2 linked regions of the Ovis aries genome follow. The protein of the gene in region 2 interacts with the protein of the main gene of each other region in a biochemical or structural test. Links are inferred from orthologs where the notes say so. Each region holds a gene or a part of one and is shown on either strand. Other genes may lie near its edges.

Region 1 (15,814 bases), on a different chromosome or scaffold from region 2:
CTGGATGGAATTGGTCTTTAAACCTAGGAGATTAATGTATTATACTTGTTATAGGATTTACCATAAGAACACTTTTAGACAACTCAAAGATGACTGAAACCAAAGAGAAGGCTCTTCAGGTTTCCTCATGGGCAGGCAAGAGAGGGACAACACATGAGGAGTTCCTGAATTTTCGTTTGTTCTATCCTCCCACCATTCCCCTAGCCTTGCCCTCAGCTAGGGTTGAGATATAACATCCAAGTCATCTAGTTAAGCATTAGATATCCCAAATAATGCAAGAAGAAGGAAATGGCAACCCACTCCAGTATCTTTGCCTGGAAAATCCCATGGACAGAGAAGCCTGGTAGGCTACCACCCGTGGGGTCAAAAAGAGTTGGACCTGACTGAGCGACTTTACTTACTTACTTAAATGATGCAAGGGGTATTTACACCAACCATTAGCCACAGATTATCTGAAATTCACTAGGCATCCCTTATTTTGACTTGCTAAACCTAGCAATCCTTCACTCGGTGGTCTAAGTGTCTTTGTGCAGTTTTCTGGAAAGATGGCCCTAAGACACCCAACCATTCCCAACATCAGGCCTCTCCTACTCCTGTGACACATATGAGAGAATAAACAGACAATCTCCAGCTGATACAGAATGACAGTCTTGGGAGAGACTTTAGTTTTGGCAAGGATCTCTGGGTTAAGAATCACTGCAGTATCTGGGTTTAACTTGACCTGTTTAACATCAGCTGCATATGGCAAATAAGGTATTCATGTGTTACTTCAACAGTAATTACAGGATGTGTTAAGGACTTAGTGAACATATCCACACTTCATTATTCATCCCCAGAACAAAACATGACAAGCCTGCTCACATACACCACTGTGATTCTTTATACCACTCTGAACCTCTCAAAGAGCAACCTCACTTCACTTATCTCATTACTGCCTAACTTCTAGTATGTCCCTGCTAGCAAAGAAAAGAAATAGTTTTCTTTGGCATCTTTCATGTACCTTTTTCTATTTCTCTCTAAAATACATTCATCTAAACTTTTAATATATAGTTTTTGTATCTCCTTTCTCTTTAAGGAACTCCATTATCACAAAGCCATCAATAAACAAAACTCAGACTTTATTTTATTAAAATGAAGCTTTAATAAAAACCTCTACTTCTAACATATATTTCTTTGGGCTCAAATTTGTCCATAATAATTCAACGTGACAGTTTCAGTATATGATTTATCTTTATTTAATGGCTGCTTCTGGTTTCAAGAAATTATTAAAATAATGATTAAGATTTACAATAAAATGGAATAATTTAGCCCAATACGGTTATTTGTGACAGCCTCTAAGGTACACAGTTACTCTAAATCTTTAAGCACCTTCCCTAAAAAGGCAATAGTTTAAAAACAAGGGAAAATGTATCAGTTTAGGACACAAAAGCCACTGCATGCATATATACTAAGTTGCTTCAGTCATGTCCGACTCTTTGATAAACCATGGACCAGAGCCCTCCAGACTCCTCTGTCCATGGGATTCTCCAGGCAAGAATACTGGACTGTGTTGCCATGCCCTCCTCCAGGGGATCTTCCCAACCCAGGGATCAAACCTGAGTCTGTCTCCGGCATTGGCAGGTGGGTTCTTTACCACTCGCGCCACCTGGGAAGGCCCCACAAAAGCCACTAAATACACTTTATTTTTAAAAAGAATGATTTAAAGTATTACCTTGAAGCTGACGTATTGTAGATGATTTGAATGTCTTTTAATAATCTGTTTGATCAGCTCTGGATGTGTAGCTTTTAAATAAGATGTAGCTGGCTGATTCAGTTCAAATTCAAAACATCTCCACAAGTCAGGCATGTGAAATACCTGGTTCCAGTTGCGGCAAACTTGTGAAGCATGAGCCCGGTCAAGAAGAGGCAGATACTTAAATACTTGGAGAACAATGTCCTGAAGGAGATTACCCCAATCACAAGTCTGAGAATGCTCACTTGCAGTCCGCAGTCTCTTGGATTTCTCGGCAATACCTTCTTCTGATGAATCATGGCCACTATCTCTTCCTCCTCCTCGTTTCATCCTATTCAGAAAAAAATTCATCATTCTTTTTTTGTACTTAACTTTTCAACAGACATAAATCCAAAATTCATTCTTCTATCACCGAGATTTCTGTACACGTGCCTATAAATAAAAACATAAACGCGCAGGAGAACTGGACCAGACATTCAGGGAGAACGTCAAAGCAAAATATAATAATAAAAAAAAAAACACCAGTAGAGACCAACTGCTATTTCACAACCTTACACCTTTGGCAGGTGCTTTTAAGCATGTGTATTTGCACTGTACTATGTGGGGAAGAAGTTTATCATAGCTTTGAAACCAAACCATGCATTTATATTTCCAAAGTTGTAGTCTACTGCAGGAAGCCAGTGTGAGGAATCCAGCCTGTGACAAGGTCATGAGGAAGGAAGCTGACATACGCAAGGTCGTGATCAGACTTCAGGGGTCCCCCTGGAATTTCCTGAGCATGTACCCCCCAAAAAAAAATCTGCCGGCTTTTGTACTCTGCTTTTCCACTTTTCTGATATTTTCTGGAAAAAAGTCAATTCATGGCTTTAGTCTTCTGCATTTGAAAGGGATGTTTCAGTTAAACCCCCTCTGATAACTCTCTAGCTTGCCTAACAGGTTCCTTGGACCTTTTACAGCTTGTGAATTGCTTCCAGCCCCCCAACCGCGAGAGGCACAAAGCTTAAAAGCGTCTTAAAGATACAGAGCCTTTCCTAAAGAGTTAAAAATCATATTGGTAGAGGGTTTTCACTGTTGACTCAATGACTGCTGCCAGGCCTCCACATTCTTTATCTTTTAGGCACCTGGGAGGATGTTAATCAATGTAAATGGGATATGGAAAAGATATATAGTAGTTTTGATGTTAGCAACACTAGACTTTTGAGATAATTACTTTTCTCTCTGTTATATATCACTGCACTCCTCTTGTGTCCTTGCTATGTAAGAATGTAACTTTATTTAGTGCTTTCTGAGACTGGCACCAGACTTTGGGAAGATCAACACAAATAAGTCTTCTGGTTGACAAACCCTTATCAGAAAAAAGGCTGTAAAATGTTAATTGGCCCTTTTGGCTGGAAGATGATGTAAATTACCTAAGACTTGTGTATACAATTAGGTATGCAGAGAGAAAAGCCTGGTTTTGATAAGAGTCTGGGCTGCTAACGCTGTCTAACTTTGTGTTACCCACTGATCTCCATGTTTTATCAAAAGTATAAAAGGCCTTCTGAACAACAGAGGACGGAGCTAGTCACTGGACTGGTTTCCCGTGTGTGTGTGTGTGTGTGTGTGTGTGTGTGTGTGTGTGTGTGTGTGTGTGTGTGTGTGTGTGTGTGTGTGTGTGTGTGTGTGTGTGTGTGTGTGTGTGTGTGTGTGTGTGTGTGTGTGTGTGTCTCTCTCTCTCTCTCTCTCTCTCCTTTTCTCCCTTTCCCTCCCTCTCCTCTATAATTTCAGGCTGAATTCCTGTCTAACTTTGTGTTGTGTGTGTGTGTGTGTGTCTCTCTCTCTCTCTCCTTTTCTCCCTTTCCCTCCCTCTCCTCTATAATTTCAGGCTGAATTCCCATCTGGGGCACGGAGGCTCGCCAAGTCTACTTACTTCCCCTGGCTGTTAAGACCTGCGTGAAAGGGAGCCTAAGGCGAGGCACCCTTAGATATTCAAGCGAGCACCGGTGGCCCAATGTAGATGGTGCAAATTCCTTGTCTGGGATTTTATTGGTCTTCTGCGTAATCCAAGTTATTCAGCCCTCTTTCTCCACTTAATTTTCCTACTACACTATTGTTTCTTAATCCAATCTTATATCAATCAATCAATAAGTCTTTCCTCGCCAACGCCGTCTACCCTTCGAATTCCCTGGATCCACCGGGGCTGGACCCTGGCAGTCAACTATTCAGAAATACAAAAGAGAACTTACAGGGACATCTCCTCAAGATTTCTTGAAAGTCATCAAAGGATACCTACTATATCTGAGTTTCTGAATTCACGGCAGACGGAGCCACAGGAACGTTCAGAGAGCATCTGAATGAAGTCATTGACAGATCTTTCCACAGTGAGTAGCCTGCCATGTGTGTTACTACCAGACCCAATCTTTGCCTAAAACGAGCAACCTCATCTCTGTGCATAGTTTGCTCTGGAATGTGGCTGCTTCTTCCAACACTTCACTAGTTGTTGCAATGTTTTATCCAAGTTGTATTTCTGAATGACAAGTGAGTGTTTATTCTATGTATTGGTACTGCCTTCATTCCATTTGGATCTGGTGGTGTTGTAAAACAGGAATGGAATTTACAGGCAAGAATACTGGAGTGGGTTGCCATTTCCTTCTCCAGGGGATCTTCCCAACCCAGGGATCGAAGCGGGGTCTCCCGCATTGTGGACGGATTCTTAACCATCTGAGCCACCAGTGAATGGCGTAAAATAGTAGTTTGAGCCAGTAGCTCACTGGCTCTCCCTCTCACTGCTTATGTGGCTATTAACAAATTACTTGACCTTCCTGGGCTTCAATCTGTAAAATGGGGATAACAGAAACACACTGGGATCTTGTGAGGAATTATGGCATCACTGACTCGATGGATGTGAGTCTGAGTGAACTCCGGGAGTTGGTGATGGACAGGGAGGCCTGGCATGCTGCGATTCATGGGGGTCACGAAGAGTCAGACGCGACTGAACTGAACTGAAGGAAATGGCAACCCACTCCAGTGTTCTTGCCTGGAGAATCCCAAGGACAGGGGAGCCTGGTGGGCTGCCATCTATGGGATCGCACAGAGTCAGACACGACTGAAGTGACTTAGAAGCAGCAGCAGCAGCAGGGCTTTTGAAAGGAGACATCAATGGCTGCTGAACTCAGGTATAGGAAAGTAGTCTTGTATTAAGAACATTAAAGTAGAAACAGAGGTTCCAGCCAGAAGGCAAACAATGATCCTAAATTTATTTTAACATGAAGTATATATGAGAATGTGTGAGACTACAAGGTCATGTATGAGAAAAACACACTGGAAATAGATTACCACATTAATATAGTAACTGTAAGAGTGGGACTGTATAATATTATATTCATAATTGTGGTATAACAACTGTGGTGGGATTAAATAATGATTTTTTTTTGCAATATGCTTTGTTAAACTTTACACATGCCTGTTAATGTCAATGAATTACACTGCAATCAGATAAAAGGTCTTGTTTTATCTGGAAATTTAAGTACTGAAGGCTCTAACTAAATGAGGGCAACTGCAGTCCACTCACTGGTACCTCTATTTAGTTCAGAGCCTGCGATTCTTTTGTCTCTAGAGAGCAGTTTCTGGCAGGTACAGTTTGGATTTAGAGTCACAGCTTTTTCACACAGGATGGCTTGTAGCTCCAACTCCCTTCTCCTGGCACATCAGTACATCAGAATTCTGATTCCTGTGTGGAACAAACACACAGCATGCATGGCTCTCAACCAAATACGTCTGTGCAGACTCTTTCTTTCCAGTAGCTAACTCTGAAGGACTGGAAGCAGAGGACCCTGGCTCTCATGCCATTAAGATCAGTCCAGGAGGTCTAAGGACATGCGCAATAAACTGCCTATTCCTCATTACTCCTACTTCCAACTATACATTAAGTGAAGTAAATGATGCATATTCCCCTACGCAGAGGGAGAGAAAGGGAAAACAATGAGAGATGATAGCAAGAGGCTAGTTTTATGGAAGACTAAAACTTACATGCGAAACAAAGAATACGTTTTTCAAATATGTTTAGAGAAAAGATGTATAGTCTATAATGTCATCTTTAGTATTAAAACAAAAAATACTCTCCTAGGAATAATGTCTCACTAAAGGCTGAGATAACACTGTCATTATGACCCATTTTTCTGCTTTAACTTATCCTGAAGGCGTACTTTAATTTTAGCATACAAAATTTGGGTCAAAGAACAAAGAGTTTGCTACCCAGGGTTTATAATTTCTCTTCTGACTACCTAAAACTACTCAGCATTTTGAGATACTGAGATTCAAAAAAGAATGAAGTTATTTTTATAATTTCTACCGCTCACTACAGACTGTTGATCTTCTATTCCTGGAGAAAAGTCTTCTAAAACCAGAACTATTCAATTTAAAGATGGAACGATTCATACAGATACATAAACAAAACGACGACCTTATTTACACAATTATCTCTGCTAATACATTGCTGGTTCTAACAACATACTTTCTTTTGTCTACTGCATCCTTGGTTTAAATAGAAGTACATTTCAATATCTTTCCAAATGGAGTACAGAAAAAAAGCTGACATATTAAAAAGAGGGCTTCCCTGGTGGCTCAGTGGTAAAAAAAAAAAAAATCCACCTGCCACTGCAGGAGATGTGGGGTCAATCCCTGGTCAGGAAGATACCCTGGCAAAGGAGATGGCAACCCACTCCAGTATTCTCGCCTGGGAAATCCCATGGACAGAGCCTGCAGTTCACTGCGTCGCAAGAGCAGGACATGACTTAGCAACTAAACAACAGTCTCTAACTAGCTGAACTGAAGTCTTTAAACTGTCACATTTGACTGCTGTAGTATGTCAGAATTACAGTATATAAAGCAACAACAAAAAAAAATTAAAACCAAATGCCAATACAAATGTCTCTGTATTACCCTCATTTATGTGTAAAAACATCAGATCATAGTGGGCACCTAGGAAAAAATGTTAATGTCAAATCTTTTCCAAGACAATTCATGCAAAAATTTGCACTGCCTTCAAAAGTATTTTATTAAATCTATTTACACATGAAGCTCTGATATAAAGAAAGTTAAACAACTTAGAGGATCTACCAGTCTGCAAAGAATTTACATCAATGGACGACTTCTTACTTTTAGTTAAAGTGAAAACCCCTCTCACACTAGAACTTGAGTGCAGAGAAGATGGATGATCAACCTCTCTGAGATTTAGGAGAGCACCCAAACTAGGCCAATTCATAACTCTGGCAGTTCACTTCAAAATGCGACTTTTCCAGGCTCCCAAAAATCGATTCAACTAAAAGCATTCGCTGAGACTGATACTCCTATGGAGCATCAAAAAAACAAACGAATGACGAAAGACTCCACCCTGATCGAGCAGCACAGAGAATTATGGTATTAACTCTTCACATTTCCATACGCTCTGAAAGGAGTAGTCACTTTGTTCATCAGATGAAGAGCCTAAGAGAACACTTGGCTATGTGCCCTTCGTTGTTTTTTTAGTACACTGCGATCATAGTAATTTTAAAAGCTCATTTGTATTCAGCTCTAAAAAGCCTGTTTTGGCATCACATTTCCTTTCCATTTATGCTCTGCTTTTGGCTAATAATTGCCATGCATTCTTCGGCTGGAATACAAAGACCAAATGGGTGCAAATAGTCTGACTCTCAGAACTAGATGGTATTAGAGAGTGGGGTGGTGAAAATTGGTTCACCGATCATTTGTAGATACTGGGAGTTGATGGCATTTTTATAAAGATTTCAGGAGAAGAAAAAAAAGATTCTGAAAGATCTGAGAGATACTTGACACGTTCAGCAACAAAATAACTGCTTATCTCTAAGCACGGTGATGCAGGCCAATCACTTAATAGGCTTTTTCCTGATCCCTGTCTGCAACTTCATCTAAAAGAGCTACTCTCGCTCAAAGCAGGGGCAAAGCTGCTCATTCCAAGTTGACCAACTTTTCCACTTGGCTACGCGCGTCCGAGGTTTGCCCTCCTCCCGCGCCACCTCCTCGAATTGGCTTTCCCAGACTTGTCTGCCGCCCTACCCCGGGCGGTCTGTTTTGGCATCTTAATGTCTCTCATCTCTCAAAGCCAGGCCGAGCGCGAGCTCTAGGGTGTCGGTCACCAGGCCCCGCCGAGTCACAAAGCCGGGCGCCAGGCGCGGCGAGCCCGGGGCGCGGCGGCGGCGGCGGCGGCGGTGGCGTCGCGCGGAGGCTGCCGCCGGGCGCCGCGCGCGCACCACGCCTTGTTGACATGTTTTGAAGCAGGTTCGCAGGGCAACGCCCCCAAACGGGCTCCAGCGCCCCGTCCCGCCCCGCACTCTCGAGGGGCGGCCCGCGCACTCTCGGGTCCCCGTGGCCCCCTCCGCCCCCGGCCCGCCCACCTCCGCGACCCTACCCGGCTCCCGCCGCCGCCGCGAGGCTCCGGCCCCGGCCCTCCGCGTTACCTGCTGCCGCGGGCGGCTTCCCCCACGCTCCACCCCGGACTCCGGGGGCGGCTGGTCCCGCGGCTCTCACATGAGGCCCCGCGGGCCCCGCGCCTCGCGCTCCCGCCGCCGCGGCCCCCCGCGCTCCGCCCGCATCCGAAGCGCTGGTCGCCTGGGGGACGCCAACGCGGCTCCACCTTTGCGGCTCTGGCTGCCCGGAGAGAAGCCGCCCTCCTCAGTCTCGCGCCATCCGTGTCCTTCTCCTGGGTTCCTTCGTCGCCGGGAGAGGGACGGCTGCAGGGAGCTGCAGCCACCGCGTAGGTTCTCGGCGCCGCGGCCCAGAGACAGAAACCAAAATGGCGCCCGGGCTCGCGGCCGCGCGCTTCTCCCGGCGGCGCGTCCCCGCCTAGGGGGGCGGGCGCGCGTGCTCCGCGGCGAGTTCCAGGAGGATGAGCCGGGGAACCCGAAGGGGCCGCACCCACGCGGGAGCGCGCTCCGTCCCGCACGGCTGGGGGCTCGGTCTCCTGGTTCCCCGGGGAGTGTCGGCAGCCTTCCTCCCCGAAACGTGACTGCGGCTTGTAGGTTTTTTGTTTTGTTTTGTTTTGTTTTGTTTTTGCGTCTTGAAGCCGAACGTGAGGGGGGCTGGAGCCAGCTAGATGCCTAACAGACTGCGGTGCAAAGTGGAAAGTTTAGGGAGGCGGAGCAGCTACAAGAAAGTAGAGTCCCTGGGGCGGGCTGCAGCTGGTTCTGGCCGACCTGTAAACTAGCTGCGGCAGCGGACACACCTCCGCGTGGGAGGCTGGGCCTCCGATGGCCACGCCCGCTCACGTCACGGGAGGAGGTAAAACACAGCTTGTAACAATACACACCAAATAGACCATCCTTGGCATACTACGATAATATGCATCTTGTATACATAAGGTGTTACATGGCGGGGCATTAAAGCAGAATGGTGACACTGTTAACGCTGGGATGACGGGTGATATTTTAAAAATCGCCTTTATAAAGTAGACAGACTCCTTTGTAAATTGCTTTGTAAATAGCTTTCTGAAACACAGTAAGAATAGTGTAAGGGAGTCGATGGCGGATAAAAGAAAACTCCGGTGAAGGCTTTTGTAAGTAGAGGCATCTTTGTGTGTAACTGCTACCTGGTTAGCTTGTTTTCAAAGTTTGGATTTGGGGATACTGGGTTTTCTTAAACTATCCTTAGGTGCAAAATCTAACTTGAATCATGCACCATCCCCATTCCCCTCAAAAATAATTTTTCATCATAGATGTCTTGTCAAAGATCTGCCCGGTGTGTAAGAGACTAGAAGACAGTGAAAACCAGGCATCCCAGCACTCTTCTACTCCCCCTAAACTTGAGCTAGGAAGGCGTGGGTAAAAGTATGGTGAGAGTCATTGTGGGAAAATGCCACTGTTTTTCTGTTAAGGCCTGGCCATCAGATCAACAGTCAAAGGGAACAAAGTCTAGCAACAAAATAATGTGTCTGGACCTGCACTGCAACGCTTTTTAGGTTCCTCCTTGACTGGATGAGGAAGGACAAGAGGAAGAAGGGCAATGATAATAGTTACAAGAAGAAACACAAGTCAAATACAGACATATTTATTTAAACTTACTTTAACAGAATAAACGATCAGCAAAACACATTAAACCAGTCAACATAACTAGTAAACACTGTATCTCATTAAAACGTTCATACTCCAATTGTAGCCCCCTTTTAAAGCCTCAAGACAGTCTCTTCTCTCCCTAAAGACAAGGGTGGGACCTTGGCTCACTTTACCAATATCTAATGCTTCCTTTCCTTCCCTGTTACTGTTATTTAAAAATTTTATTTTCCCTTTTTGCAAAAAGCAACTTGTGCTTATTTTAAAACTAGTCGAGGGCTTCCCTGGTGCCTCAGTGGTGAAGAATCTTGCTGCCATTGCGGGAAACACAGGTACAAGCCCTGTTCTGGGAAGATCCCACGTGCTGCAGAGCAGCTAAGCCCTTGTGCCACAGGTATTGAGCCTGTGCTCTAGTCTCCAACTTCTGAAACCAGGGGTGCGCCTGAGAGCCTGTGTTCCACAAGAGAAACCACCGCAATAAGAGGCCCTCACACCACAGCTAGAGGGGGCCCTCACTTGCTACTACTAGAGAAAATCCTGCGTACAAGGAAGACCCAGCATAGCCATAAATAGATACAAAATTAGTCAATACTTAAAATTTTCAGTTCTGTTTTTCAAGATCGGTGACACTGTCTGGGGAAGGGAGAGGGTGGCTGTTGAGTAATCTGGTCCAGCAAGGAAGAATATTTTGTTACCAACCCAGTTTAGGATTGTTGGTACAAGCGGTAATAAAAAACAAACCAACAAAGAGTCAGATTTATTATTGTTTTTAAATTCTCTGCAGATAGTGTAACCCATCTGCTGGGATGATCAGGTTAGGTTAGGTTATGTTGAGTAGTTCTTTCAATACCATCTCATAATTCTTTGTTTCGATGACCTTCACAGTTTTTAGGAGCACTGTTCCAGACTTTTGTAGAATGTTCCTCAACTGGGGTCTGCCTCTTGTTTTCTCATTCATGGTCAGACTGAGGTTATGAGTATTTCAGAGGAAGGACACACATGAATAAAGTATCACTGTCATCGTATCATATCAAGGATACATACTCTCAAAGGATTTCTCTCTATTGAGGCTAACATTCATCAGAGTTTGAGATCAACTACAAACTGGCACTTGCCATCTGTCTCTACCAGGATTAAATCATGTGCTGCTGCAGCTGCTGATTTTCAAGACCCTCTGAAATGAGTCAGGGTGGAGAACAGAAATGAGGCACTCTGTGCTCTGGGGAAAATCTGGCATAACAGGTCTTCGGATATTTTCAGGAACTGATTTTATGAGCCCAATTCTTATACCTCCTTATATCTAATATACATGCGTGTGAAGTCACTTCAGTCATGTCTGACTCTTTGATACCCTATGGACTGTAGCCTGCCAGGCTCCTCTGTCCATGGGATACTCCAGGCAAGAATACTGGAGTGGGATGCCATGCCCGCCTCCAGGGGATCTTCCCGACCCAGGGATCAAACCTACAGTTCTTGTATCTTCTGCACTGGCAGGCAGATTCTTTACCACGGGAGTCATCTGGGAAGCCCCCTCTTGTCTAGAACAGCACTAAAATTTTTCATGGTGATGGCTGCTCCTTGTGACCAGCAGAAAGCTTCACCAGACTAGCAGGAACCTTCTGGAAAAAATACGTGCTTGATTGCATGTACTCTCCCTTCACCAAAATCACATATATACTGACCTTCTCCTCTTTGGAGCAGTTTCTCAGAGCTATCTGAGGTGTTGTCTCCTAGGCTGCAGTCCTCATTTTCCCCCAAATGAAGCTTAACTTGCAACTTTCCCATTGTGCTTTTTTTTAAGTCAAGAAATGTAAATTTTTTTTTTCTCCCTTTCCAGACTATCCTTTTTGGGAGGAAGTCTCTGCATTCACCTCACACTAAAAGGTTGGAGAAAGTTATGTTCCATCTCCTGAGGTGAGACTATCTACATATATTATTTGGGATATGTCTGCATGGAGGTTTGCCTCTCATCTCTCTCTATTTCCTAACTTTCCCTCTATTTTATTTTTATTTTTCTGTACTGAAGCCTTTCTAATTGCCTCAAATCTGTCTTCAAAATCAATATCTCCAAGTCAATGCTTATTCTTTGGTCAGTGTGCTAGAACTAGCCACCAAAATGGGAGAGAACAAAGCTTCATGGGGCTGAGGCCGGAGGAAGATGGGACTCCCCAGGATAAAGCAATTGGAGATTCATTCTCTATCGACTGAAACTCCAAGACAAGAACAGCAGGGCAATTAAGGGAGGAGGCTGGGCCCTGCTCAGACCACATACTTCTCCTTTCCGAAGTAAGGAGACCTCCCGGACCATACATGCACAGAAAGACTCCTTGGAGGCCAAAGAGCAGTGGTGCTCACTAATGCCAGGCTCCCACAGCCTCTTTGGTAGAATCTAGTTTAGCTAAAAGATGCCCGTGCTCATGTGGGAGGATCCTGAGATACACTAAATATGGACTGTGAACCCGGTAAATCAAAATGACTGGCCAAAGGAAGCCAGGAAGAAATACCCTGTAAAAGTGATTCAATCTGCCACAAGGGCGCAGTTCAGGGACTCTCCCTCTGAGTCTGCCCATGTGCCTATCCCCATGTACTGTATACTTGCTTCACTACTTTCCGTCTTTGTGGAAATTCTTTTCTGCAAAGCCAAAGGGTCAGAGCCCTTGTCACTGACCACTGGCCTAGTGGCTAGGCCCTGCTGCTTTCACCACCATGACCCGACCTCAATCCCTGGCTAAGAACCCAGGTCCCACTCCAAGCTGCTGCAGGCCAAGGCCACCCAAGATCAGGGCAACGCTTAGCGAACGCCAACAGACAATAATAAACAACTGTTTCAATCAGAAAGTAATGAGTGGTTCGTCATACTGTAGTAGATAACTGGAAGAGAAATAAATAATAAAGACAAGACAGGGAAAAAATAAGGAAGAAAAGCTGTGACAAACCTAGACGGCATATTAAAAAGCAGAATCATTATTTTGCTGACAAAGATCCCTGTAATCAAAGCTGTAGCTTTTCCAGTAGTCATGTACAGATCTGAAAGTTGGACCATAAAGAAAGCTGAGTGCTGAAGAATTGATGCTTTTGAACTGTGGTGCTGGAGAAGACTTGAAAATCCCTTGGACTGCAAAGAGATCAAGCGAGTCAATCCTAAAGGAAATCAACCCTGAATACTCAACTGGAAGGACTGATGCTAAAGCTGTAGCTTCAATACTTTGGCCACCTGATGTGAAGAACCGACTCATTGAAAAAGATCCAGATGCTGGGAAAGATTGAGGGCCGGAGGAGAAAGGGATGACAGAGGATGAGATAGTTGGATGGCACCACCGACTCAATGGACATGAGTTTGAGCAAACTCCAGGAGCTGGTGGAGGACAAGGAAGCATGCAAATAAAAGTTAATAAGGTAGATACAACTCTAGTCAGACTGATTAAGAAAATGTTGCAAATTAGCAAAATACAGGATTTTTTAAAGGGGGAACACATATTAATGTAGCCACTGCTACTGCTACTGCTACTGCTGCTAAGTCACTTCAGTCGTGTCCGACTCTGTGTGACCCCATAGACAGCAGCCCACCAGGCTCCGCTGTCCCTGGGATTCTCTAGGCAAGAACACTGGAGTGGGTTGCCATTTCCTTCTCCAGTGCATGAAAGTGAAAAGTGAAAGTGAAGTCACTCAGTTGTGTTTGACCCTCAGCGACCCCATGGACTGCAGCCTTCCAGGCTCCTCCATCCATGGGATTTTCCAGGCAAGAGTACTGGAGTGGGGTGACATTGTCTTCTCCGAATGTAGCCACTATAGGTATTCAAAATAATAAAGTATGTTGTAAATAATTATTAGCTAATAAAATAGAAAGCCTAGCTGAAACAAAGTCTAGAAAAATATAAAATGCCAAAATTGACAGGAAGAAGTAGAGAACTTGAATAGATCAATAAACATTGATGTAATTAGCAAAGCCCTTTCCTTCCAAATAACTAGATTCCAGTATTCTTGCCTGGGAAATCCCACGGACAGAGGGGCCTAGCAGGCTCCAGTCCATGGGGTCACAAAGAGTCAGACAGAACTGAACAACTGAGCACACAAACACACACAGATGGAATTACATGTGAGCCCTGCCAGACTTCCAAGTAAGAGTTAGTCCTGCTGCAAGTTGTCTGAGAAAAAAGCATAAAGAGGAAAAGCTGCCCAGGTCATTTTATGAAGCTAGTATATTCATGATTCCCAAAGAAAGGAAAACTGAAGCACCATTTCTCTTATAAGTACAAAAATTCAGAAAGAAATATTAGTTAATCAAATTCAACAATGAACTCCCAAAACCAAAAAAATAAATAAAACTAGGATGAAACAGTGAAAACAACTCTGGAGCCCCCTTGACCTCCTTTGCCTCTTTCACAGCACATATCACCTCCTGGCAAATTATATTTTGCGCGTCTGTTGTGTAACATCCCACTCAGATATAATAAACACCGTGAGTCTTAGTCTGGCTGACTTGCAGATCCTAGGCTCCTGGAAGAGTTCCTTGCTCAATATATATTTCTTCAAAGAGTGAAAGAGCATGACAGGACAGGACTTCGGTGTAGCAAGCTGGACTTCAGCCATGTTGCACGTATAATAAACCTGTCCTGGGGAGTAGATGGGAAGATCTACATTGCAGGGGAGGAAGAATTCTAAGAGGTGAATCAGAGAGGGACAAGAGGGCTTTCATAGGTGAGTTTGATATGAACCAGAGGATCCAGATCATACCAGCAGCCCTGAGCTTTGACAGAGTCGGACACAACTGAGCGACAAAGCTGAAGCAGATTCTGTGCACGACACTCAAGCACTGCACAGTGACTGGCCACTGTAAGCCTTCAACAAATGCTCTCTTTTATTATTAGCAAACTTTGATTACCGTTCATAATGTTGTGCTACTCACATGTTCTCTATTTTTGTTCTGCAACTGTCTTGTCCGTAGGAGCTGGCCCAGCGCTGCACGTATTAACTAACTTGTACATTTCACTTCCGCAACTGTCTCATCCTTAGGAGCTGGCCCAGCGCCGCACGTATTAACTAACTTGTACATTTCACTTCCCAGGCACTCTCTACGTGTAAGTCACGGTTACCAAGCAAGTGGGAACACAGCCTCGTGAGCATGTCCTGTCAAGTGTGGATATAGAACAGGTGCTCAGCTATTTATTAAATGACATAATGAAGCAAAACAGCTTACTTCCTCCTCAAGGAACACATCAACGCCATAGCTGTCACCACACTCTCTCCCTGAAATGCCTTGTTCACTTATGCTTGTCAAAACTTATCCATCCCTGCTCTTTTTGAGGAAATGGACATTGTAAGTAGTGACTGGACATGTTTCTTTTCATGCTTCGTTAGCTAACAAATGTACTGTGCAGTTGATGGCCTCCTCTCAAGCCGTGTTGGGAGACTGCATGGTTACTTACTGCATACTCTCCTCTAATCTTGGCTTTGATTTTCTTTCATAATCTGTCTTCAGTGTAACTCCACCCAGTATCTCTGTTATAGTCTATGTATTTTTTTTTCTAAGTTACCTTATGTCGCTTGTGAAGTGAAGCAGCCATAAGTCATTTAAAATATGTTATCCTTCTGTGTCAGTCAGCGAAGTCCTCTAGGAGGCGGATGCCAGGATAACGTTAGAAGGGCAAAGAATCTGTGTTGGGGGCTGCCTATGACAGACCAACGGGTGGGGGAGCCCGAGGGGGCAGGGAGAGCTTTCAGACTGCCGTGCAGGTTGGCATCTATGAAAGGACAGGGAGGAGTGTGGGGCAGGAAAAGCCTCTGATTGCAGCAGGCCTGTAGGAATCTCCCTCCGCTAGGCTAGCCCAAGTGCTGGTATACAGATGGCCCCAGGAAAGGGACTTCCCTGGTGGCCCAGTGGTTAAGAATCCGCCTGCCAGTGTGGGGGACACAGGTTCGATCCCTGATCTAGGAACTAGGATCCCACCTGCTGTGGGGCAACTAAGCCCATGAGCCACAGCTACTGAGCCTACCTGCCCTGAGACTAGCCCCGGCTTGCTGCAACTAGAGAAAGCCTGCTTGC
Region 2 (15,212 bases):
AGCCTCACTCTATTTCCTCGAACCCAGCTCCACGTCCCCCTTTACCACTCCCACCAGAGCCTCCATGACGTCCATGCCACTGAATCCTGTGGGCATCTTCTGTCCTTTCGTTTCTGGGCCTCCCAGCCACTCACCCTACTGCCCGCGCCCCTGTCTCCATTCCCACCATTCCGTTGGCTCCTGGTTGCCTCTCAGCTCTCACCTGGCTGGCTACTCATGTTTTACCAGCTCCACCGTGCCTCCCAACCCTGAAGTTTTGGCGTCCCAGGGCTCTGTCCTGGGCCCTCTGCTCCACTGTGCTCCAGCTTGGTTCAGCCAGTCCTGTGGATCCTCTAAGGCTACTTCCTTGCAGACAATCACCACGGCTCTAGCTTGCACCCCGACTATGACCTAGACTCCCAAATCACCCTAGCCAACTCCCTGCCAGAGATCTCCACTGGACTGACTTTCAGGCCTCAAGGGGAGCAGGCTCTTTTCTTTAAACTGCCCTTCCACTGGCATGCCTTATCTCAGAAAGCGCACTGTCATCCACCTCGTTGCCTGAGCCAAAAGCATGGCCGTCACCGTTACCTGCCCTCCCTCAGCAGGTCATGTCAGTCCCACTGTCCAAGTATTTCTTCACCCCGTCCTTTTCCGTCCATCCCCTGTTGCCATTGACCTGGTTTAGGCTAAGACTATCTATACTGGACAACTGTGACAGCCTCCCACCTGCCTCTCTGCATCAGCTCTTGTGCCCTCTAATCCACTGTCTACACCGGGAGCAGAGTGGTTCTTTAAAATGCCTGTCCCTGAGGGCAACATCTGCACCAGGCTTCCTGGTATTCTCAGGCTAGAGTTCCAAATCCTAAACAAGGCTCACAAGCACCCTGCAGTCTGCTGAGGGCCCATGTTTCTAGCTTCCTCCCTTGCCACATGCTCTTGCTAGCCTTTGCACATGCAGCTCCCTTTCCTTGGTTAATTTTGACTCTTCCTTCAAGCCTCAGCCTCAAAGCCACCTTCCCGGCAGGTGATCCTCAGGTATTGGTTAAGTACCTCTAACAGACCCAAGGTATATTTGCCTGCTCACATCCTTGCCCACCATTCTTTGAAAATCTTTTTAAGTGAAACATAGATACAAAAGCACACTGATGGGTGGCTTAATGGATTATTCTAAGGAAAATGCCTCTGCAACCACCACCAAAGTTCAAGAATCAGCACCTTGCCGGCCACCCCAGAAGCCCACCTACGTGCTCCGCCAGTCAGGTTCCTTCCCTGCTCCATCAATAACCACCGGCCCAACTCTGTCAATAATCAGGTCCCAGCATTTTAAAATGTTAACATTCTTCTGTTTTTCCAAAGCACATTTGGGAGGGAGGGCTTTACCTTTTCAGTCATTCCTTGCATTTTTAAAGTGTTTTCTATTCTTTTTTTCATCCAAATGTACATCCGTAGGCACATTTTGCTTAGTCTTGGTCATGTAAGAGAGTTCAACGTGTTATTTATTCTATTCTATGCATTTCTTGCCATTTCCTTCTTTTCCTTTTAGATTTCTTATAAAGGAACTCAAGATCTTTGACTTGCACTAGTCCCACAATCTGGATTCCCCTGTGTTCTTACGGGTGCAGTTCAGCACACTCCTCTGGCCTGTGTGCCGCTTGCAAACTGGTGGCTGGTACCAGAGACTGGCGTGGACTCAGGTTTCCTGTCTTTGGCGAGACTACAGGGGAAACATGCCTGACAGTCACTATCCTTGGTGTTAGCAGTCATTAGTGAATCACCAGGGGCTGTAAGATTCCTCTGTTCCTTTTTCATTTAATAACTGGGACACTTTTGTGGAGAGATGCTTGCCTTCAGCTACTACTGGGTAACCCACTGGTAAAGATCATATTGTTTGGCCCCCTATTTCTGGTAACAGCACTTAATGTTCTTGTGGTGACCCACCCCTTCCCTAATCTCAGTTCAACTGGGTAAAGTAGAGCTAAGGCCACCTTGGACTCTGGGAGCGGGCTCACTCCCAGATTCAAGTCTGAACAGGTAAGGGGGCACCCTCTTCCCTGGCCTTAGTGACAGTCAGGGACAGTCACATGACCCAAGCCAGACCAAGGAAAACACTTCTTGGGACTTTTTCTGAAGCTTTTGGAAACTTTCTCAGGTAGTACTAAGCACACTGAAAATAAGCCTCTGGTGACGAGCCTTGCCACCACTCAAGGAAATCCTGCCTGAGAATGAAACAATACACAGAAAGGCAGTACTGAGATAGAGAATGCATTCCAAGTAGCATTAGCTGGACACCTGGGTCCAGCTATGCCTGAAGGCTACATCCTGGGACTCTTGGGTATATGAGTTAAGAAAAATTCCTTTTTCAAAAGCCATCTTGCAAACAAGAACTGATCAATATAGTCAGTCCTCTTGCTCTCCCACTTTCACCACCCTCTGAACCACTCCCTTCCTCACCCTGAATGGACTTTACTTCCCTGTTTCACGTCTGTCATCGCTATAGACTATGTTTTAAACTCTATGTCTGTCGTGCTGGGAAGGCTTTCTAGTAGCTAGACTGTCCTGACCTAAGAAAATGCTCACTTCAGTTTTGGAGAAGTGAAGTTGAAATAAACCTCCTGAAACGGTTTAAACTCCTGTCCATCAGGCACCTTGTGTTCTCCCAGATATGTAAAATACAGTATTCCCCAAGATCATCTTTGAGTCTAAAGGGCTCTGACATAGGCTCCCCTTTCTGCCCCCTCGGCCCAGCCTTTGTCTCCAGACTGACTACAAGGATGTCTGCATAAAGCTAATGTGGGCAAAGACGGCTGGTTCCCTCACAGATCTTGGACATCAATGTTCCTCCTTTTAAATGGCTGGGGCTTGCTTTCGGCCCTGTCTGATGGTAAGATCCAAATGGGGACCTCAAGGCCACTGCGCCTTGGGGAGACTAGGCCCATGACCCGCCTTCACTGCTGGTGAGGTACTTCCTGGGCTGGGGAGCACTCTTCCCAAGTGGGCTGTCTTAGCCTCCTTCCTGCACTGTTATCACCTGGCTGCTGGGCCAAATGCCCACTACCTGAGCAGGAATAGAACACGCTGTGATTCTAGGGACCCAGTCTATAAACCAGCTGCAGGGGGGCAGGAAACAGGAGTGACTGTTCTTGAGAACAGTCTCTGCTCCTGTAGTCCCAGGAGGTGTAGGTGGGAGGGACGTTGTGAGGGCCTCCTCTGGGGCCTCTCAGCCTCTTTCTTACCTCTGAGCAATTCCCGCTTCACTGGGGGGTGGGCCATTCGCTCTGCGCTGAGCAAATGGAAATCAGTGCCTCGGAGGAGACTCAGCCAAAGCGAGCAGGGGTGGGGAACACGGAAACACAAAATAATCTTCTACACTTTACTACCAGATATCCTCTGAGTAAGAGAACATCTGACCTCTTACCCACTGACCTCTTAGGAAGGGGACACACCAATGAAAAAAAAGGCAATCTAGCCCAAGTTTTAGAACCGAGTAGAACAAGGTCTCACTCTGCTACTTAGAAACTGTGTGACCTCAGGCAAGGCTTGACTTCCTCACTGGTAAAATGGAGAGCTTAGTATCCACCTTGCAGAGCAGATGGGAAAATGAAAGGGAACAGCACAAGCAGGTGCTAGACCTAGAAACGCTCAGCCCCGTGACCAGCCCATGGGATAAGCACTCACTTATGGCAGCTGCTCTTACTGCTGTTACCAACCAGCCTGAGTTAAGAGGCACTCAGGGACATGAACCTGGCTCCATCCCCCTGGCTGCACGGGGGTGTCAGCATCTGAAGCCCTGTCTCGGCATCGGGGGCCATACCTTCCGTTCCAGGTGCTTATCCAGGCGGGCCAGTGCTTCCGTCTCTCCTCCCCGCCAGACCGCTGGGCCGAGCCCTTCAGTGGGGAATCCTACAGAGGGGTAGCAGGGCCACAGGACTGGGGGTCAGGTCAGTCTGGTGATGGTGCAGCAAGTTCTCACATGCGGCTCTGTTCTCTGAGCTCCGTGCGAGCTGAACTATGGTGTTCTTGGTGCTAAGAGAACTAACGCCAAGCGAAGTGAAGTCCCTCAGTCGTGTCTAACTCTTTGGGACCCCATGGACTGTAGCCTACCTCCTTCCATGGGATTTTCCAGGCAAGAGTACTGGAGTGTGTTGCCATTTCCTTCTCCAGAGGATCTTCCCAACCTAGGGATTGAACCTGGGTCTCCCGCATTGTAGGCAGACACTTTACCTACGGTCTGAGCTATCAGGGAAGTCACTGAGATAATCCTTAATGTTTCCTCAGTGATGTTTTCTAAGTCATGCAGGTTTTCTTCCCACTGTGACCTCTTCTCTCCTTTCCCTTGCCTCCCTCATCTCAGCCATGTCTCATCATAGGCAGGTGAGAACAATCTTATATGGCTGGCCCTGGCAGGTTGGCTGGCTACAGCTGTGGTTTTTAGGTGAGAAAGGCTAACTTCATTCAGATCAAAAAAAAATGTGTGATAGGTGGGGAAGGGGAGAAAGGCTGACATAGCCCCTTTCATCAGAAGCAATACCAGTTATGTCGGTATTGAGAAGCCCACTGATGCCAACACCAGGCTATGTCTATATCGTCTGAGAGGTAAAAGTATAAAATTAGTCATGAACTAGAAACAGAAGCTGAACATGTGACTATGAACAGGAAAAAAGACCAGAAGGACTGCTGTAAAATGATCAGTGGTAGGTAACTGTGACAGCTATTTCCACTTTCATCTCTCTGTATTTTCTAAAGTGTCCACAATGACATGCATCACTTTGACAAAAAAAAAAAAGAACAAAAAAAAAAAAGCTGGTTTAAAAAAAAAAAACAACAAAACGAAAAAGGACGTGACAGTGTGAGGGGCTGGGGCAGGAGTACTTACCCAGCTCCTCCAGGGAGGGCACGCCGTAGGTCTCATCGTGGCTCTCCTGGATCTCGGCCTGGCAGCCCTCCATCTGCTGGCTGGTCACGGAGCCCACGGGCTTCCTGGGCAGCTCCATGCGGCTGATGATGGCCTGAAAGCGCTTGTAGGTAAGGGGTGGCTTCTGCCCATTCAGCTCAATGATCCTGGGAATCCCAAAGACGCCTGCCGTCACTCACGAGGCCCTTCATCTCAGGTTCCTGCCCACCCAGAAAAGAGCCCAGACTGTGCAGTCTTGGAGGGTGGCCTTCCTCATCCGCTCTGAGTCCCACCCCTAGGGAGAAAGGAGGGGGCAAGGGAGGCTACGTCTCCATGTTACTGAGAGGGAAATGAAGCCCAGACTGCTGGAGCAGATGCCTCGGGTAATGGAGCAAGTCAGGGCCAAAGCTGGGCCTCAATTCCAGGTTCCCTGGTGCCGGTGTGGAGCCGCCTAAAGACAGAGACTGACCATATCTCTCTTGTCACAGAAAAGTCCCCACTGGCCTTCACGGTCCTTGGCCTGCCTGTCCAAGCCACAGGGCGCCCTGTGGACTGTCTCTACCCCAGCATAAGCCTCCAGGAAGTTCTTTGATAAGAGCTGCAAACGGGTTCCTTGGTTGGAAATTCATTCTCTCCTTGGGCCCTAGTTACTAGAACAGAGAGGAGGGGAACAGCCTGTCCCTCCCTAAATCGGAGGCTCGGGGTTCATAGTCACAACTCAATCTTAAAGGGTTTTTTGCAGTTTACAAAAACACAGCTGCACTCAGATAAGAAGAAAAACTATAGGAGTGTTTAAGAGGCGAATTGAGGCTGTTTATGTAACAATGACTTCGGACGGGCGGGAGCCAGACTCCTGGGGCTCCTGTTGGCCAAGCAGCAGCTGACAGCAAGCCCGGACTTGCCGGCGAGTCCCTCTCTCAGGTCCTCTCTCCTCCCCTCCGTTAGCGGAGGCAGAAGGTTGGCTGCTGCCCGGCAGGGCCTCCCGCCACCGCCTCTTCCGGCACGTGGCGGAAGGAGGCGCTCCACACCCAGCGCCTCCCCCCGGGAGCCCAGCTCACATGCAGAGCTGTGTGACCCAGCCTCCCAGCAGCCACCACCGGTCTGGGGGAGGCGGGCGGGGAGCCGTGGTGGCGACAGCAGCCCAAGAGGGACAGCCCTGGCGGGGAAGGAAGGGGAGGAGGGGGTTTCCTCCTGGCCTCTTTGAAAGCACAGGGCCCCGCAGCGATCTCTCAAGCCTCCGGGGCAACATCTAAATGCGAGACCTGGAAACCCAAGAGCCAGGGGAGCCCAGGGAACGCAGCTGGGGAACAGAAGCTGCGCCTGCGAGACCAGAGATCCACTGGGAGGGGCCACAGACAGGGCCCCACTGGGGTCAGAGGGCAGTTTCGGAGCAGCAGGATGGAAGCAGGAGTATGTGGGGTGGGTGGGCCTGGAGCGTGTGAGGAGCTATGGACACCCTGCTTGCGTCTCTCGGGCCTAATGAGCCTCTCTGCACCCAAATCGGGTAAGCTCTACGGGCCCCCACTCTGACCTGTTCTCCCCCGGCTCCGAGAAAACGCCAGGCCCCATATGGCAGGGGGCCCTACTGCTAAACCTCTCTGAGTTCTGCTCAGCAGGGCCCCAAATCACCAACTCCCACAACGGGCGAGCTGAGCCCTGGGACCCGTCTCTTACTTGTCCAGGTCATAGAGAGTATGCGAGTTCTCGGTGACCACCTCCACACCAGCCTCCTTGGCCATCTTCATGATGGCTGCGTCCCGTTCTTTCCCAAAGGGTTCAGAGTCATACTCAAAGGTCAGGCGGGTCACCCCCCATTCCTGTGGGGGAAAGAATCTGTAATGCTCACCACTGCTGGGGAGAAGGAAGCCGGGCGAGCTCCCTGCCGAGAGGAAACCAAGCACGTGGGGAGACCCGTCAGAACAAACTGCGGACAACGACTTGAACCAGAAAGCCAACCATCTGAGGGCCTCGAGGTTTGAGGAGGGCAGGCCCCTGAGGAGAGGCCAACAGCCCTCACCAGTGGAGCCCGAGGCTGGCGGTCCCTGTGGCATGAGAGAGGTGGGCAGCTCTGGGCGCCACCAGTGTCCTTGTGGGAGAAGAATACAGCAGGAGGCTATAAATACACGCTCCCAGGGGAGCCCCCTGTCCCAGAAAGAGGCAGAGGATCGCCACCTCCCGCCTGCTCAGCAGCCTTTCCCAGAGCTCCTGGGGGCCCTGCAAACTTCTGGCCTAGTTTTCTTGGCAGACTTGTGCTACGAGAAGTGTCCTCATGGTTTCCATGGCAACACTCCTGCGGCCAGTAGCAAACAGAGCTAGTAGGCTCCAGCTCTCAGACAGCTGGGAAAGGAGCAGCCGCCCTTGGCCCAGAGGTCAGAGAAATCAGAGCAGAGGGGCCACATATTTTAAAAGAAGGGGATTCTTTTCCAGGTCTTTAGTTATGTCTGGTAGAAATCTCTGTATTTCCTAGCAAACCTGGGAGAAAGCAGCCCCGTGAAAGGCTGCACCCTTTCTGGAGCCCACAGAAAGCCCTAGAGCATGCAGCTAGCAGGAGGGAACCACATTCCAGCCCAGGTCTCTGGCCATGGTCCCTGAAAACCCTGAGCCCTTGGGGCGAGTGTCCTGGCCATGCACACGCCGGTCCAGCCTCAACTCGGCCCTGCTGCCTCTGGGTCCTGTGCAGAGCTGCTTATCTCTCGTCCAAGGTTAAGGTTGGCACTAAACATTTATTGGGTACTTACTAGGAGCTAAGTATTCTGATTAGCAGTTCATACTATTATGAACTATGAATAATAATCAAGGGTTACTATTAGATGACACCTTCTCCAAGAAGCCTCCTTGGCCCTCTTCAGAAAGATTCTCTGGCACCTGCCCGTTTTCCATCACAGCAGTTACCATATGGCAGGGAAGCCACCCACTACTCGCTAGTTTCCTCCACTGGAGTGTGAGTACTGGGAGCAGTGATCGTGTCGCCTCAGTCTTCATCATCCTAGGACCCGGGATGGGGCTGCGCACGTAGCAGAAGCTTAATAATATACAGAGAATGGCGCTCTGTCTGTATCTCTGGGCTATTAGTGGGCTGGCCTCAGAGGTGCTAGGAGGTGGGGCAATGCAGCAGGAGAAGAGAGGCCTGTGTGTTTAATGGTATGGTGGTCACGAACACAGCTCCGGGCTCACAGCCTGGGCTCAGGTCCCAGACTGCTGCTCTGAGCTTCGCAGGCATGGTCAAACTATTGCTTCCCTGTCTGCAGGACAGGGACAGCAGCACCTACCTCTGAGGGCAGCGGCAAGGAGTACAGGCATTAATGTTCATAGAGCACGTACTGAGAACAGCGCTTGACTCACAGTCAGCCCTCAGTGAATGCTGGCTCTTACCAGCACTGTGTGATTTGTGCATGTTTGTCTGTGTGTGGGGGTGTGGGGAGGTGGGGAGGTGAAGTGAATGCCGAAGTATTTACTCAGCTGCCTGCCTCGACATTCAGTCTTTCCTCTTGTCTTTTCCCTCCAGGAAGAACAGGAAAGGAAGCGGGGTGCAGAGAGGCATAGAAACAATTGTGTGCTGATGTCCTAGAGCCCTCTGTTCATGAGCACGTCTGTCTTTTTAAGACCCGTTTGGGTCTTAAAAAATGTGTATTATAAAGGGTTTGTGGGGGAAACTGGGCTGGCTACCTGATACAGCAACCAGAGGCCTATGTGGTACTGAAATGAAGATTCTGTCGATCATTTACAGAGGAGGTAGGGACACTCCCTTAAAGAGGCTGATTTTTTTTTCCCAATAAGAGGAGCAAAGCAAGAGGGGAAATGCCCCTAGACAAACAGGAAACCTCACCCTCAAACTCCTGGTGCAAGAAGAGCCCTAATAAACCTTGCTGGCTTGAACCAGGAAAATAGTTAAGGGAGCCAGGGGTGTCTGGAGTGAAATAAGTCGCTACATCCCATGTCTGAACTGAGCTGGGAACTTTCCAGCAAGACACCAGATTCCCTGATGTTTTCCTTAACACAGTTTCCATTCTGTGGGCAGCTGACCAGCTCCATCCGCTCCCAGCTTCCCTAGCAGCAGTGGTCAGCCCAGCCCTGACTGTCTCCACTTCCTCAGTCAGAACGTCGTTTCATTCAGTCCGCGGGGGGCAGGCGCTCACCGTCTTGTCCCGCACTCTGCGCACGTACCTTGAACAGCCTCGGGAACACGTCAGCCGGCTGGCCCCGGACCACAAAGAGGCGGGAGTTCAGTTTCCTTAAGCTTCTGTCCAAATCTTCCAGAGACTGAAGCAGGAACCTGCAGAAGCCACGGAGTCCTTGTTGGTGGTAACATAACAAACAGCCACTTCTTCCCAACAAAGCGGCGAGAACCTTGTTTATGCCAAACCAGTAGCACAGTTCTCCTGGGTTCTTGTCCAGGCGTGATGTGGTGGGGGGTCAGGGCCACCTCCGCTGAATCCTGCCTTTGCCATTACTAGCTGCGTGGCTTTAGGTAATTACTTAACCCCTTTAGCTTCTTCCCCCCTAATCTGTCATACACAGTTGGTGTTAGTACCCATTGCATAGAACTGTTAAGAAAAGAAAGCCAAATAATGCAGAAGAGCATTCAGTACAGACCCCAGAAGAGAGGAACCTGGGGGAGTGTGAGCTGCTCCTACTCGAGCCATTCCTCGCGATCAGAGGCAAGTTGCTTACTCCCTCTTGGCCTCAGGCCCTGGGTGTAACTATCTGCCCATCACTAGGGGACTGTGAGAACCACAAGGGAGAAGAGATGGGGGAGCCATCTGAGAAGCAAGGGCAGTCCTGTGGTATGTAGGCAGAGGTCCCATCAGCAGAGGAACAAGACTGCAGTTGTCCTGGAAGGTCTCATCCACCCTGGTCCGACAGACTCCCTGTCTTTCCGCACTCACACTCTGGTCTGTGTGGGTGTCTCCTGACACAGCCCTATGGCCTGGGCTGGGTCCCCAGCGTTTCATTTGGCAGGTAGCCCCTTCCTCAGGCCTCTCCAGGGCCCTGGCCATCAAGTTCTCATCCCAAGAGGGAGAAGGTATGTGTCTGGAGGATTCCCTCCCATGCATCCATGGCTATGGGACTCCAGAAACACAAGCCACCTGGCCTGAGGGCTGGATCAACGTGGGACAGGGACAGGAAACGACCATTGCCTGAGAGCTTTCAGGGTCTGTTTACTTTACAGGACCACAAAAATGTATTACCTGCACAGCTAGGCAAAGGAGACAAGGAAAGATATACTCATCTGAATGCAGAGTTCCAAATACTAGTAAGGAGAGATAAGAAAGCCTTCCTCAGTGATCAATGCAAAGAAACAGAGGAAAACAATAGAATGGGAAAGACTAGAGATCTCTTTAAGAAAATGAGAGATACCACAGGAACATTTCATGCAAAGATGGGCTCAATAAAGGACAAAAAAGGTATGGACCTAACAGAAGCAGAAGATATTAAGAAGAGGTGGCAAGAATACACAGAAGAACTGTACAAAAAAGATCTTCACAACCAAGATAATCATGATGGTATGATCACTCACCTAGAGCCAGACATCCTGGAATGTAAAGTCAAGTGGGCCTTGGGAAGCATCACTATGAATAAAGCTACTGAAGGTGATGGAATTCCAGTTGAGCTGTTTCAAATCCTGAAAGATGATGCTATGAAAGTGCTGCACTCAATATGCCAGCAAATTTGGAAAACTCAGTAGTGGCCACAGGACTGGAAAAGGTCAGTTTTCATTCCAATCCCAAAGAAAGGCAATGCCAAAGAATGCTCCAACTACCGCACAATTGCACTCATCTCACATGCTAGCAAAATAATGCTCAAAATTCTCCAAGCCAGGCTTCAACAGTACGTGAACTGTGAACGTCCAGATGTTCAAGTTGGTTTTAGAAAAGGTAGAGGAACCAGAGATCAAACTGCCAACATTCGCTGGATCATGGAAAAAGCCAAGAGAGTTCCAGAAAAACATCTATTTCTGCTTTATTGACTATGCCAAAGCCTTTGACTGTGTGGATCACAATAAACTGTGGAAAATTCTGAAAGAGATGGGAATACCAGACCACCTGACTTGCCTCTTGAGAAATCTGTATGCAGGTCAGGAAGCAACAGTTAGAACTGGACATGGAACAACAGATTTGTTCCCAATGGGAAAAGGAGTACGTCAAGGCTGTATATTGTCACCCTGCTTATTTAACTCATATGCAGAGTACATCATGAGAAATGCTGGGCTAGATGAAGCACAAGCTGGATTCAAGAGAAATATCAATAACTTCAGATATGCAAATGACACCACCCATGGCAGAAAGCAAAGAAGAACTAAAGAGCCTCTTGATGAAAGTGAAAGAGGAGAGTGAAGAAGTTGGCTTAAAGCTCAACATTCAGAAAACGAAGATCATGGCATCCGGTCCCATCACTTCATGGCAAACAGATGGGGAAACAGTGGAAACAGTGACAGACTTTATTTTTGGGGGCTCCAAAATCACTGCAGCCATGAAATTAAAAGACGCTTACTCCTTGGAAGAAAAGTTATGACCAACCTAGACAGCATATTAAAAAGCAGAGACATTATTTTGCCAACAAAGGTCTGTCTAGTCAAGGCTATTGTTTTTCCAGTGGTCATGTATGGATGTGAGAGTTGGACTATAAAGAAAGCTGAGTGCCGAAGAATTGATGCTTTTGGTGGTGTTGGAGAAGGTTCTTGAGAGTCTCTTGGACTGCAAGGAGATCCAACCAGTCCATCCTAAAGGAAATCAGTCCTGAATATTCATTGAAAGGACTGATGTTGAAGTTGAAATTCCAATAGTTTGGCCACCTGATGCAAAGAGCTGACTCATTGGAAAAGACCCTGATGCTGGAAAGATTGAAAGTGGGAGGAGAAGGGGATGACAGAGGATGAGATGGTTGGATGGCATTACTGACTCAATGGACATGAGTTTGAGTAAACTCTGGGAGTTGGTGATGGACAGGCAGGCCTGGCGTGCTGCAGTCCATGGGGTCACAAAGAGTCGGATACGACTGAGTGACTGAACTGAACTGAACAGCTAGGCATGATCATCTTTCTGAGAAATTCATCAATACTTTTTTTGGTGGTGGGGGAGGGGTGCTCACCATGGGGCATATGAGATCTTACTTCTCCGACCAGGGATCAAATCTGTGCCTCCTGCATTGGAAGCATGGAGTCTTACTGCTGGGCCACCAGGTAAGTCCCCATCAATACATTTCATGACCTCTATTTTATCTTTAAATTAACAGTATAAACAGATTAACTATTCATGTGGTTCAAAATTCAAGTTACAAAAGGGTACACAGTAAAAGAAGTCTCCTTCTCCTGCACCCCTGGGAATTTTATGCTCCTCTCTAGAGACAACTAATGTTATCAGTACTATTATATGCCTGAGATGCTAAGCATGTTTTCTTTTGAATTCTCTCAGCACATTTTGAAGAAAAATACTACCCTTTTTTATAGATGAGGAAAATGAGCTAGAGAGGATAATAAATTTGCTGAAGATCACAGTTATTGGGGACAGGTTCCTACCCGACACTGTTGGTCAGACTCAAACCATGTTTTCTTCCTTAAGCCTTCTAGCAGCACATCAGACACTGCTCCAGGGGCTGAGATTCTTGTAAGCTTATGTTATGACGAACACACACCAGACTCCAGGTGATCCACTGACCTGCTCTTCTGCAGGAAAGAGGCCCTGGCAGGTGAGCTTGGTTCACAGCCACCTCCTGCTACCTACCCTGGGGTCTCCCACCCAGCCTCGTCAACAATGGGAGTCACTAGAGTCTACTTTGAGCACAATGAAACCCAGGGGATCCTCCGCCGCACAGCACAGTCCCTTGACTGTGGGAGCCTTACAGAAGCATCGACTGTTCTCAGGCCCCCCTGCCGCCTCTGACGTCTTTGATATGACACTCCCAGGCAGTGAATGCCAGAGATCCACATTCCGGCACAAGATGAGTCCTGGGCTCAGCCGGAAGCATTGTGCTAGCTGAGGAGCAGGCAGGGACTCTCTGAGAGGCTGCAATGGGAGACTGACAGGCTGAAAGCCAGAGCTCCGCCTCTGCGAATTTCTATTTTTGAGCACTGACACCCTTAGAAAAGCAAAGCTGAGACAGTGACGCACTGCACTGCACTCGCGCTGGCCTCCTCTCAGGCCTCACCCTCCTCTCAGGAGAGAAATAAGAGAGATTGCTTCCATGCCACCTGCAGGATGCCTAGGGTAACTGGAGACTTTCAGACTTCACAACCTCTAGACAGAGGCTCCTCCATCTGCGCCTCCCAGAAATGTGCCTGTCTTGCACTTGGGGGCCCGCATCCTTCACAGTCCACTAGGCTGAACAGGACGCTGAAGCTACAAACAGGACTGGCATGCACGTGAAAGCAAGGTTCCAGCTGCCTTCTGTAGACTCTATTTCTAGACCTCATGTATTTATTTGGCTGCAAGGGGTATTAGGTGCCACACCATCTTCACTGCACCGTCTTTTGTTTCAGTGCATGGACCCTCTAGTTGTGGTGTGTGGGCTCCAGAGAGAGCAAGCTCAGTGCTGTAGCCCCTGGACTTCGTTGCTCCATGGCACGTGGGATCTTAGTTCTCCAACGAGGGATTGACTCACCGTGTGTTCTTTGCTCTGCAAGGCGGATTCTTAACCACTGGACCACCGGGGAAGACTCTAGACCTCATTGATCAAAAGGAGAGACTCCTTGCAGCACCTCTGAAGTACAGATGACCCAGTGAGAACCCTTTCTGACAAGAGAAGTCTACAGCCAAGGCAGGCAGCAGAAGGCAGGACTCCGAACTCAGCAACCAAACGATGGTAATAGTAACAGCAGTAACTAACATTTCATGAGCATTTACAGTGAACCAGGTACTATTCTCCCTGGAGGAGGAAATGGCTACCACTCCAGTGTTCTTGCCTGGAGAATTCCATGGACAGAGGAGCCTGGTGGGGTACAGTCCATGCAGTTGCAAAGAGTCAGACAGGACTGAGCACGCACACACAGGTTCTATTCTACCTGCTTTACATACATCACCTCATTTAATTCTCATTTTACAGTTGAGGAAAACTGAGGCACAGAGAGACTAAGTAATCTGTGTAACATCATTCACCTAACGAATAACCAGGATTCAAACCTGGACAGTGTGGCTTGGTGTCTGCATTCGTAACCACCAGGCTCCAATGCCTCTCAACCAGTACTCACCCCCTGAACACTGAGGCCAACACTTTGCTACCAAATCCTTGTTACTCGAGGGGGATCAAAACAGTTGTGAGTCACCCAGAAGCTTGCCAAAATGCAGGACCTCAGGCTCCCTCCGAGACCTCCAGAAACAGAATATGCATTTGTAGCAAGCTCCCCTGGTGACTGCTTTGCACATTAACGTTTCTAGCTTCTATTGACAAGCTGCCTGCCTTGACTTCTAGTTTGTTTTCACTTAAGTTCCTCTCTTTGAGATCCTGGTTTTGGCCCTCTAGAAATGCTATTACTTCCAACTCCCCTAACCCCCAGTCAAGCCCTGCAGAGGGCTTCTCCAGAAAGGGAGGTCTCACGATGACCTCCAGGAGCCCCAGATTCCAAGCAGAGAAACTGCAGCCACGGCTAGGGCACCACCCGAGAGGCCTGCCAAGAAGGAATGTGGAGCAGTGCTGCTGCTGGGCAAAAGCGCCCTGGTGTTGGCAGGCACATTCTTTCACCAGAGAGAACCTTGGGCCTTTGTGCTCCCCTAGAGCCCTCCTCTCCATGTGGCCAGTTTCTCTTTACTCCAATGAGGGACGACTCCAGAGAAAACTGGCCTGGGCACTGGAGGTGGCAGTGTTTGGGCAGCAGCTCACCCTTGGCAGCTCCCAGCCGAGCTCACACGGCCGACATTCAGAGCACACAGCCCTGTGTGAGCGGCTCATGCTCACCCTTTGGATCAGACGCCATGTGCAGCTCAGCTGCATTATGTAAGTGCCCTGCAGTCAGAAGCACAGCGGAGGAAACCAACTTGGGATTTCCAAAAATACTAAGAGGACAGTAATTCAGGGACTCCATGGAGCTAGCCTTTCAAAACAAGACTGGCAAATCTTTAGGCAAAGACTTCTCCAGAGACAGCAGATTCTGTATTGAGAAATATTTTTGTTTATTTGTTATTAATAGGAGGAAGGAAAATGATAGTGAACTCTTTTTTGGGGTCCAGATCGCCCTTGACCAAGTCTTCCCTGTTTCAATCCAAGGTTATTTAACTGTAATGATGATACTGTTGGCTGGCCCAAACTGGCTGCATATGGCATTAATAGAAATTAACTTCTCCTAAGGGCTGCCCGGGTGATGCGGTGGTGAAGAAGCTGCTGCCAGTGCAGGAGACACAAGAGCCGA

Evidence for each region.
Region 1: the proteins of CRY2 (region 2) and FBXL3 form a complex in vitro, tested with the Homo sapiens proteins (2 studies listed by BioGRID, with this or other methods). The link is inferred for Ovis aries from reciprocal best matches to the Homo sapiens genes CRY2 and FBXL3.

What each region holds. Positions count from the first base shown.
Region 1 is NC_056063.1:52,741,503-52,757,316, forward strand, and holds the start of FBXL3 (F-box/LRR-repeat protein 3), read right to left. Parts: upstream 8,522-15,814; 5' UTR 8,185-8,521; exon of another isoform or gene 8,136-8,184; intron 2,064-8,135; 5' UTR 2,063-2,063; coding exon 1,712-2,062; intron 1-1,711. UniProt on the Homo sapiens protein: Substrate-recognition component of the SCF(FBXL3) E3 ubiquitin ligase complex involved in circadian rhythm function. Plays a key role in the maintenance of both the speed and the robustness of the circadian clock oscillation.
Region 2 is NC_056068.1:74,813,601-74,828,812, reverse strand, and holds part of CRY2 (cryptochrome-2), read right to left. Parts: intron 9,147-15,212; coding exon 9,038-9,146; intron 6,691-9,037; coding exon 6,548-6,690; intron 5,041-6,547; coding exon 4,856-5,040; intron 3,883-4,855; coding exon 3,794-3,882; intron 1-3,793. UniProt on the Homo sapiens protein: Transcriptional repressor which forms a core component of the circadian clock.